3 linked regions of the Arabidopsis thaliana genome follow. The protein of the gene in region 2 purifies or fractionates together with the protein of the main gene of each other region. This does not show direct contact. Each region holds a gene or a part of one and is shown on either strand. Other genes may lie near its edges.

Evidence for each region.
Region 1: the proteins of THO1 (region 2) and RLK902 fractionate together in Arabidopsis thaliana (co-fractionation; one large-scale study listed by BioGRID). This does not show direct contact.
Region 3: the proteins of THO1 (region 2) and AT1G36240 fractionate together in Arabidopsis thaliana (co-fractionation; one large-scale study listed by BioGRID). This does not show direct contact.

What each region holds. Positions count from the first base shown.
Region 1 is NC_003074.8:6,451,192-6,454,563, forward strand, and holds RLK902 (Ribosomal protein L7Ae/L30e/S12e/Gadd45 family protein), read left to right. Parts: upstream 1-2,111; 5' UTR 2,112-2,245; coding exon 2,246-2,372; intron 2,373-2,467; coding exon 2,468-2,679; 3' UTR 2,680-2,827; downstream 2,828-3,372. Other genes in the region: TSK (tetratricopeptide repeat (TPR)-containing protein), read right to left, coding at 1-151, 663-1,463, 1,588-1,854; WNK6 (with no lysine (K) kinase 6), read right to left, coding at 3,116-3,372.
Region 2 is NC_003076.8:3,064,854-3,068,609, reverse strand, and holds the start of THO1 (nuclear matrix protein-like protein), read right to left. Parts: upstream 2,033-3,756; 5' UTR 1,796-2,032; coding exon 1,793-1,795; intron 1,694-1,792; coding exon 1,610-1,693; intron 1,534-1,609; coding exon 1,459-1,533; intron 1,363-1,458; coding exon 1,260-1,362; intron 1,100-1,259; coding exon 954-1,099; intron 875-953; coding exon 803-874; intron 677-802; coding exon 604-676; intron 514-603; coding exon 448-513; intron 352-447; coding exon 305-351; intron 116-304; coding exon 44-115; intron 1-43. Other genes in the region: AT5G09850 (Transcription elongation factor (TFIIS) family protein), read left to right, coding at 3,389-3,756. UniProt on the Arabidopsis thaliana protein: Acts as a component of the THO subcomplex of the TREX complex which is thought to couple mRNA transcription, processing and nuclear export. Contributes to the integrity of the endogenous trans-acting small interfering RNA (ta-siRNA) pathway.
Region 3 is NC_003070.9:13,612,882-13,616,637, forward strand, and holds AT1G36240 (Ribosomal protein L7Ae/L30e/S12e/Gadd45 family protein), read left to right. Parts: upstream 1-2,008; coding exon 2,009-2,029; intron 2,030-2,110; coding exon 2,111-2,216; intron 2,217-2,297; coding exon 2,298-2,399; intron 2,400-3,155; coding exon 3,156-3,224; intron 3,225-3,311; coding exon 3,312-3,352; downstream 3,353-3,756. Other genes in the region: AT1G36230 (uncharacterized protein), read right to left, coding at 1-100, 198-314, 399-476, 550-620, 948-1,029, 1,146-1,170.

The sequences.
Region 1 (3,372 bases), on a different chromosome or scaffold from region 2:
CCTCATAACTTCTTATGAACCACTTCAGGGACTTTCTGAAATTTCTGAGATTTTGGTAAGATTCTCCAACAATCATGAAGGCATCACTCAGCTTTTCCTTGTCACAGAGTTCATCTGATATTTTCTTCTTCCTTTTTGAATATTGAAGATGCTAAGACATTCAAAGAAGAAATAGCAACCCTTTAGTTGCATGCAAACTTCAAATGGCAGCCTCCTACTTAACTTTCAAAACTATATCACAAGTCATTGAAACAGTGATGCAGAGACTTGGATCACTCAGTATCCGTATGATACAGAATAATCATCGTTTTGCCACATAATAACTTTACTTTGCAAGTTCAGAACAAAGATATTATCCCAGCATTCAAAAGATAGGTTTTCTTGAGAGAACAAGAATCATGTAATTCTTTGATAATATAGTCTTCCTGACTGATCTGAAAAGACAGTGTCAATAGCAGAAGTTCACAAAACTTAAATCAAATCTAAGAAAATAGCATATTTTTCCTACTCCATACTACCTGATGAAATCTCACAATGCTTATTCATCATTAAAAACCCCTACGATGGACAACTTTAACTTCTGGAAACTTTTCAAATAAATGCGAACATGGGGTGGAGTGATAGGACTAAAAAGGAAGGAGTGTTTAAGTTATAAAACTCACCTTCAGCCATGCGAATACCATGCTAGATTTATCAATAAGACTTCCAAGACAAGCATTTACTTGGAGCATAGACTTTCGTTCCTCCGAAGTGCCTTTGGCATCAGTCATTTCTGCAGACAACTTCTTAAGCATAAGCTCTTCTTCTCTCAATTCTTCCATAACTTTCATGGATTTCTTGACTATCTTGGTATTATGCTCTATCTGTTCAACCAATGCACTCTCGTCTTGCATAGATTTCGCTAGACTAGAAGCTTTACCATAACATAAAAGAGCATCAATGTACTTTTGGGTCTTGTTGTGTAATTCAGCGAGATTGATATACCCCTTCGCTTCTCCTTGGACATGATTAATCTTATGACAGATATTAATATCCATCTCAATGTGTTTCTTTGCTTCATCCCAACTTCTCAGCGCCATAAAAACGTTTCCAAGGTTATGATGAAGCCTACTCCGAGCAGCATCATACTCTCTCACCTCCTCTTCATCGCAAATCTGCAGCCCTTTCTTAAGAATAGTACGGGCTGCTTCAGGATTATCAAGATCAAGGTCAAGCATACCGATGTTGTTATGTGCGTTAATATACTCCTCAAGGAATCCGCTAGATTCTCCAGGAGGTGGTTTCTCCTTGAGAATCTGTGCAAGTTCCATGGCTTTCTTAAAGTACTTTTTAGCACTCTGAATGGCTTCACAATCATCCTCAGACTTCAAGAACATTTCATGGTAAGTACGTCCAAGTTGAGTACATGCTCTTTGCTTCTCCACAGTGTCATTAGCTTCTTCAGCTAGCTGTAAATGCTTCTTCTGCAACCACCAGAAAAAAACACAAATTCAAAATGAAAAACTCAAACACCAAAATTATTCACGGAAAATTCAGGAAGCCAACAATAACCAAGTAGGAAAAAGCAATTGATTCAAGAGGGCTTACCTGATAAATCAAGGCTTCTTCGAAATTTTCGAGGCGGAGATAGATCTCGCCAAGAGACTGACAAGTAGGTAACAAATCTTTCCCAGGTAAATACTTGACGGAGATATCGTAATCAATCCTAAACCACTTGAGAGCATCAACGTACTCTCCATGATTCTTAAGGATATCGCCGACATTGTTAGCCCACCTCGCCTGTTCTCTCCGGTCACCCACTTCTTCTGCTTTCCGGTACGCTCTCTTCGCCGCAGCTACATCTAATCGACCCATCGGATGATGATTTCTCCGTTCTTCAATTGAAAGGTTTTTGTTTTCTTCCTTCCGATTTTCAGATTTCTCGAAATTTCTTTCTCAGTGATTTTGATTTTCTCATTTTCTCCAGTCGCCAAATTTTTGGTCCCATCCCAAACTATCCCGCCAAAATTCAAGGGTAAATTAGAAATTTTCATACCCTAAATCCTGAAGTTATAGGCCTTTTAGTTTGGGCCTTGGGTCGAGTTTATTTTGGGCTTCTTATATCCTCCTGTCTCCTGACAAGAAAACAAAAAAACCCTAAGGGTTCTAAGGCACTCGCTATATAAACTATCATTTTGCGCCGCCCGAACCCGAAGAAGAACTCTCTCTTGTAAACCTGCGATCTGAATCTTCCCGGCGGTGAAAAATGGTTGCGGAGAAGAAGGCGAAGAAGTCCCATGAAGGAATCAACAGCAGATTAGCTCTTGTGATGAAGAGTGGAAAGTACACTCTTGGATACAAGTCTGTTCTCAAATCCCTTCGCAGCTCCAAAGGTAAAAATTTAAAATCCCTCTTCATCGATTGATTATAGTGTTCGTCTTCCTCGTAATTTAGTTGAATAATTGTTGGATATTGTTGGGGGGTTTAGGTAAGCTGATATTGATATCTAGCAATTGCCCACCGTTGAGAAGGTCAGAGATTGAATACTATGCGATGCTTGCTAAAGTTGGAGTTCATCGCTACAATGGCAACAATGTTGATTTGGGTACTGCTTGTGGTAAATACTTCCGAGTTTCTTGCCTCAGCATCGTTGATCCTGGTGATTCCGACATCATCAAGACACTTCCTGGAGATCAGTGATTCTGATTTTGATGATTTTGCCATGTTGTTCTCTATGCTTGATTATGCTTTGTGTTCTTCAAAGACTTAATGTTAGATTTCTTTGGTTTCCCGACTTCCTCTTAATGGTTATAATTAATTACTACATTTTCGTCTCTGTTGATTGATTCCTTACACGAAAAGGCTTGATTACTTTTATTACAATAGTTGGCTATTAACTAATTACATGTTCAATTTATACAAAATCATATATAATGGACAATCTCTTAGAACATTTTAACAGGAACCATTTTTTATGTTCTAACTTGTAACAACCAACCAAATTAAATCTCAATTAATCAAATAGAAACCCTTCATCTTTCTACACTTCTCCTCCAACCAACAAATTAAACAAAAGAGATTAAAAACACAAAAGCTCTTCATCAGTATCAACGTTTTCTTTGAGCTTTTTTGGCTATTACTTTAACTTCATCAGAGACAACTTTTTCTTCGTCTCCATAATGGCCTCTTCTCTTTTCGTTGCTATCTCTTTCATATCTTCCTGATACTTAGCTTCTATCTCCTCCAGCTCTTGTCTTAACCTTTCTTCTTCCTCCAAACTTACTGGTTCGGTTGCTTCTTCTACTTCTTGAATGGAGCTCTTGTCTTCTCCTTTGGTGGCATCGACGCATTGCTTATCTTCCTCATCTGATCGTGGGCAATCTGAGTTACACG
Region 2 (3,756 bases):
AGACCAGGTAATGCAATTTAGTCAAAAACCAAAGATCACATACCGCCAAACTGGATGAAAATTTCTGCCACTTGGTAGATGCGGAAGTAAGAGAAGCGGGATTACAGAAATACTCCTGGAAACGAAACAATTTTCTCAGTAAGAAAAGAACTATCTCAATAAACTAACTAACAAAAGGAAATTTGAGATGCTATCTCCAGTAATGTTGATTTTGCATGATATGCAAACAGAGGTTCTATGAGACAACCCTTATGATAAAGGCATAACATTCGTTCCCTACAAAGTTCCTTTAACTAATACGCACCTGTAAACTCCAAAATGTCTTGTAGAAGTTGAAATCTACAGAAATGCCTGAGAAGCAATGACATAGACAGAATAAGTAACACGTTTTAGAATTGTCATATGGAGATAAGGACCAAAAGCATAAGAAAAAAAAAAATCACTTGCCTTTTGGAGGATCTTTTTCATATTTGGTTTCATTAGATGTATTAAAAACACCTTTTATATTGACGGCTGAAAGAATAAGTCACGCAAGTAAACGTTACACACCTTTTAAACATTCACATACCAAATAATCGTATATGCACGAGAAACCCTTCTTACCTGAGCGCTCAGATAACGGAAAAAAGTGAGCCAAAAACATAAGAATCCTTCCACAGAATACAACATCATTGGCCTGTATGCCAAATAGTGAAAGCAAAAAAAAGAATTAAAAAAGAGTGGATGTGTTATATATGAAAAAGTAGATTATGACTTATGGATATTTGACAAAGGGAACTAGAAAAGGGTGCAGATAGCGAACCTTTGAGAGTCGGCGGAGAAGTTGGTTGCAAGTCCTCAACATGACAAGTTTTCCGCGTGCAAAAAGCTCTTGCTGCAAATAATTGCAACATCCAAGTCAAAATACAAGATACAACTAACCGAGAAAAAATTTGATTTCGTTTAAGAAATACCTTGCCCAATATATCTTGTTTGCTTTCAATATAACCGAAAACATCTTTACAGTTTTTCATAGTAGACATTTCGGTCAAATCCTCCAGCAGCTGGAATATCATGCCACCTTCTACATGCTCTTTCTCACAAAGATAAAGCACAACATCTAACAAAGCAATCAAAACATGAAGATGGTGAGAGGTTAGACAAAAGTAGTGAGGACAAGATGATAAGCAATAGACAACAAGAGAATAAGAAGTTTTACGGGGACAACGCTAGCACTTGTTTGAACGAACTATGCAAATCAGACTAGAGAGATTGCTAACCTAGAAGATGAGGAATCTGTCCATGTATATCATCATCATCATCATCATCGTCAATCAACTGACCATACTGCATAATTTGCTCCCCTGATTGCGCAGCAGCAGCCTGAAACCCCGAAAACAGAAAGAGAAATCCACACATATATAAATGAACAAGTATATACGCATACCACGAAAATATAATAGTGGAGAAAGAAGAGACCACTAGCTCCTGCAGCAATGTCCGGAGCATGTTTTCAAGCATTTGGTTTTCATCTTGAGCCAACTTTGTTTGTTTCTGTCAAATTTTACAATAAAGACAATAAGTAAGACTAAAGGAGTGAAGAAATTGTTAGTTGATTCGAAAGAGTTACCTGAGGTTGTATAAAGTGTTGAACAGTCTTGAGTGCAAAGGTTTCAATTGGAGCTCGCTGCAATATAGCATCTCTAAATGCATCCTGCGAAGAACCACAAATTGCAGAAAACAAGTTTTTATAAGCTATATAGATTTAACAAGAAGCAAAAGAAAACAAGTCTCATAATCCCAAAAGAGTTACCATTATTTCTCAATGAACCAGCTTCCACTGCAATGAAGAGGAATTTACCGACGACACCAAAACCGGATATGCCGGTCAAAATTCACGGACTATGAGTCGCCGGATTTTAAAAGTTGATTAAGAAGAATTGAATAAAAATCTGGAAACGGAGGCCAAACTTGAAGAAGAGTGGAGGAAGAACAATTTTAATTTAGGGTGGATCCGGATCCGGAAGATATCCTCCCAACAATCAAATTATCCGCAAATATCCGGGCTTGGATCTGGATCCGAAATATTTTTAATTTATAAACTGAATAACAACATGTTCATTGGGCCTTTCATAGTAAAATGATATCCGTTGGGTGGTGGGCTTCACATTATTTAGTTTTACAGAAGACCTTTGCCTGTATATGTTGGATATGGCGTAGTTTTAATGTGTGGAATCAAATCAATTAGAAATTTAAAACATCTGTATTCAAAAATTGCTCGAAATTGTTCATGGTATGTTATTGCAGAAGAAATCATAATAGCTCACATGAGAAGGATTTGAAGATTTCAAAAATTGCTCGAAATTGTTCGAGATAAATATTAGGTTCCAATAATTGCATAAAAGACATTGTATTCATAATCTACACTCAACAAGTGATAAATAAACATTACTTCCTAACAAAGTAAACTTTGATGGATCGAACACCTCCTTCAACACCTAAAAACTCGGATGTGATCTTCTCTTTGGGGGTTTTGATTGTACCGTCGACGTAAATTCACTAAACGATTAGTGAGTGGCAGTGGCTCATGAGATGAAAGTCATGAAACAAACACTTTGAGACCAAATGAAAATATTGATTTGACATATTGGGTCCACTTGCTATAGGGCCAAAAATTTAGAGGCCCAATAACCAAAAAAGTCGAAACATGTAAAATGTTTCTCGTCACTTGAAGAAAAACTAAAAAAAGTAAACGCCATTATTGAAAGAAAAACACTCACATCTCTCTCTCTCTCTCTCTAGAGCTGTTCATCTCCCCAACCACAACAAACCAACTTGCTTAGCTTTGCTCTGTCCAGGGCAAAGAGCATCATCCCTCAATAAAGCAATTCCCATTTTCTTCTTTTACTTTTGTCCTAAAACTGTTAATTGATTCTGTCTGAATATTATTTTTATTAACGGACCAAACAAAAAAAAACTTGCAGAAGAATGAAAGAAAAAGCAATAACCCTCCAAACCAAATTCTAAAGCCTCAAATTTGGAATATTCCCTTTCTTCTTCATTCCCTTTTTTTTTTTTAATTTGCCATTTACTCATTATTGATCTTATGTGAGACGACCTCCTCTGTTTCTTTCTTCCTCGTAACAGTAAAGGGTCTTCCTTTTTAATCTGAATTTACCAATCTGATTCTTCTGTTTTTTGTTTTTTTTATTTGTCTATCTTTTAAACTATTTGAAATCTAAACTTTGTTTGGTTCTTCACGATTTTTAATCTCCGATGAATCAAATTCATCAAAAGATTCATCTTTTAGATCTGGTTACGTAATTCGATTTGCTCTGTTTTTTGTTTTTCGTTTTGAATTCTTTATTAAGTAACCAAATTTGGGGAAGAAGGAGGAGTGTGGGTGATAATGGATTTGGATGATTTCCGATCGGTTATGGATAACGCAGGTGTTGATGTTTGGACATTTATCGATACGGCGATTCTTGTTGCGTCTCTTGACTATGGTCAAGAACTGAAACGTCGGAGAGATAACATCGTCGAGCGTCTCTACGCTACGTCGATGGCTAACAAGTGTAGAAACTGCGATTTTGGCGGCGGTGGTAACGTTACGGAGGCGGCGATTGGTAGGGTTAATAATGGGAGGGTTCACGAGGAGACGGAGGAGGAAGATGAAGAAGGAGTAACAGCAGCAGCAGAAGAAGAAGTTAGAGAGAAATCTGTTAATGTTGAAGACGATGACGATTTCGATCCCTTTGCTGGTTTGTTTGATGATGA
Region 3 (3,756 bases), on a different chromosome or scaffold from region 2:
TCTCTATCAACACTTTTGTCACCTTCACACTTCTCATCTACATTTCTATCAGTTAAACCGTCATTATATGAGCTTAGACCGTTGATATGCTGCGTTGGGCCTGCAAATAAAGACATTAAAATGACAAACATTAGCCCAAAGACATGTTAAGCAGCCGACAAAATTAGGCACATCATTCACTAAATGCTGGTTCTAACCGTCTGATGATAAAATATATCTGTCAGCCCTCATGGCAGCTTCACTCCGATCATCTCCGTTTCCAACAGAACCACCTTGACTAGATGAGGTCAGCGGGCTAGAGATGTTTGTTGTTGCTACGAGAAGGAACAAATAAATAGAAATATTGATATAATGCAAACAACGTGAAGAGGAAACAACAATAAAGCAAGGTTTATAACCTTCAGAAGAACGATGTCCATTTTCAGATATGGCATCTACATTAGATGAGGTAAGATTGGGATCACCATCAGACGGAGCTGCAAGAACACACATCATATATAAAACTTTTCAAGCAAATTGTGTACATACCCCAAATTTGTCACACCTAACCTTCAGACGACACATCACTATCAACACTTATCTCATGTGAAACAGAAACATCTCTGTTGCAGTTGGAGTTACTGGAATGGATGAGGGCACAATAAAGGAAACTTTAGTAACACAAGAAGAATATTTTCAATATCACGTTAGATTGTAAAGAACACCATTACGCATAACTAGTTAAATTAGCTGTTAGAATATGTAGGCAAATTAAAGTGGTAAGAAGTAACAAATTTGAAGGAATGGGGATGTAATTGAGTCCCACTAATAATAGGAGATGCAATCAGAAATACTAGAGGCAACATAATTGTTGTGCCAAATTATAGAAAAATCGCAATGTTTGCAAAATTGACAAACGGGAGATGAACAAAATTAGTAGTAGGAGAAGGATGTATCCGAGGCAATACCTGCAACTGAGATCTTCTGCGTCGAGATCCGAAGCAGAATTTGCGAATTTCGCTGGATCAACAACTGTACAGCTGTGTCCCCCTTTCAAGTACTACGACGCCCTCGAGAAGGAGTAGAAGTTGGCAGAAGTTTCCAAGAGAAGTAGGGTTTGACTCGCTTGACGGAGGGTGGGAAGGAACGCGAGTTAGAATTCTAACGCCGGTAACTCCTTGTTGTCACCATCGAAGTCGATTAAAACCAAGATCACCTGATGGAGGCCAGAAATAAGAACAATGGCGATGGTGTAGAGAAAAAATGGCACGCATTGGACAAGAACTGGGGTGGGTAATTGCGTTTGCAATCGAATGAAGAAATCAGAGAGCTATGGTAGGAAATAAGTGAAGAAGTAGGTTTAGGGTGGAGATTTTTATTCGTAGACAGCACAAAAGCAGGTGAGAGACATATTGAGGAACAGTGTGAATGATGATAGCGAGAGAGATGAAAGAGTAATTTACAAAGAGAGAAATACTCAAATCCGAAAGACATAAGTTGGAGTGCCTATTTCCGAAAGGCACAATTATTTTAGTACTTTTTTGTAAATAACTTTAGAAATAAAAACATTTTGGTTAAAAGTGGTAAAATTGACCAAATTTCTTTAATAATATTGGACTAAATAATATTTTACATAATAATAAAAATTAATTTAAAAATACGAAAATAACTATGTTTATAGTGGTCCATTTCATACTCATAGTCATTGATAATAAACTGAAGAATTAAAACTAAATTTTACTGAATTTGAAAAAAAGATATATATATTTCTACGCAAAATATAAAGAAAGAGTCCGTTAAAGCCCAATTTCCTAAGCCTAATTAGTGAATCTCTCAAAACCCCTAAAAGGTTCCTTTAGTCTCTCTTCTCTACTTCTCACTTTTCATTTTGCGCCACCCAAACCCTAAAAGGCAACGAAGGTAAAAAAAATCTCCGATCTCTTTCACACAATTCCTCTCTTCCACCCTCACCGATTTCTGATTCTCCGGTTTCATTTCTCTCAATCTTATCAGTCAAAATCCGGCGAAGATGGTTGCAGCGAAGAAGACGGTATGATTTTTCTCTGATCTAATTCCACAATCCATGAAATTTTTGAGTGTACTGATTTTTTGTTGAATCCATTTCTTGCAGAAGAAGTCCCATGAAGGAATCAACAGCAGATTGGCTTTGGTGATGAAGAGTGGCAAATACACTCTTGGTTACAAATCTGTTCTCAAATCTCTTCGCAGTTCCAAAGGTATTAGAAACAAACTTCTCTGTTAGCTTATTGATTCATAAGCTATTGGTTTTTGAATGTTGTTGTTTGATTGTGTTGTAGGTAAGTTGATATTGATATCTAGCAATTGCCCACCATTGAGGAGATCTGAGATTGAGTACTATGCTATGCTTGCTAAAGTTGGAGTTCATCACTACAATAGAAGTAAGTTCTTTTCATGAACAAAGACTATACATTTGTCCTTACTGGTTTAGTATCATTGTACAACAGTTTTGTTTGAATGTAGTTAGGATTGTTTAGTAGAAATAGTTGTGGAAATGCAAATTATTCTGTGGGATTTGACAGTGAAGCTCTTCTCATTCACCATTTGAAATGCTCCAATACTGAATTGATCTGTTCCCAAGTTTGTGTACGTATTGTATAGATAGAGAGTGTAGTGTTGCAAATTATTTAGTAGAAACAGTTTGGTGTCATTGTATTAGTTTCCTTTATGGTCTATGATTGTTCTGTGTGTATGTGGTATTAGTGACCAATTCTTTACACTGTTTGCACTTCCCCAATAGGAATGCACTTAATACTTAAATGATATGTTCCTGAAAGTCTTGTATATGTTGGATTGTGTAGATAGAGTGTGTAATTTTGCATCTTACAAATCCATTAGGGTGATCCTTGTAGTTGTTTTAATGTAAGGACTAAATGGTGTAAAAGCCTGAACTCACTTATATCATATCAGTTTCCTCCTGCACCAGTGATTGTTTGTTTTATGTTTTCTGGTATTAGCGACCAATTTCAGTGAGAACCAGTGATTCAGAAGTTGTTCCTTACTTGCTTTTTTCTTTGAGAGTCTTGTAAACCTTGATTATGTTACTTAAGACTACAGAAACTGTTTATTTTTGATGAGTCTCTGCAACTATGTTATTTTATTGCCTGATTTTTTTTTTTTGTACTTGTTCCTTTTAGACAATGTTGATCTTGGTACTGCCTGCGGTAAATACTTCCGTGTGTCATGCCTCAGCATAGTTGACCCAGGTAACACACTCATTCATTGTCTTTTAGAATAATCATCTTACACATGCAATGTTAATCTTGGTTTGTTTACTTATGCAATATTTTCAGGTGACTCTGACATCATCAAGTCGCTTCCTGGAGACCAGTGATTTGTGCTTAATTATCATTTTGTCCTCTTTATCTACTTTATTCGAAGTAGTGTGTTTCTTCGTGATTTCTTCTTCTCTCGTCTAGAATTGTCATACTTGTTTAAGATCTTTGAAGACTTTGTAGGTTGTCTTGGTTTCTAAACAATTGTGGTAATTGAAAATTTCGACTCTCTGAATTAATACTAGAATGATATTCCTGCAGTCACTAAGTATTATATATGATATATAGGTTGACAAAAAAAGTAATTCTATGTATAGTTAACATTGGCATGAACACATGTTTTAGGTCTAAAATAAATATTACAAGAAATCTATGTAGTTTTCTCAAAATAAACCTAATTCTTTTAGATTTGGTAGGATCTATTACCAATAGTTTAATACATGTGTCCCTCAATAATCTCAAC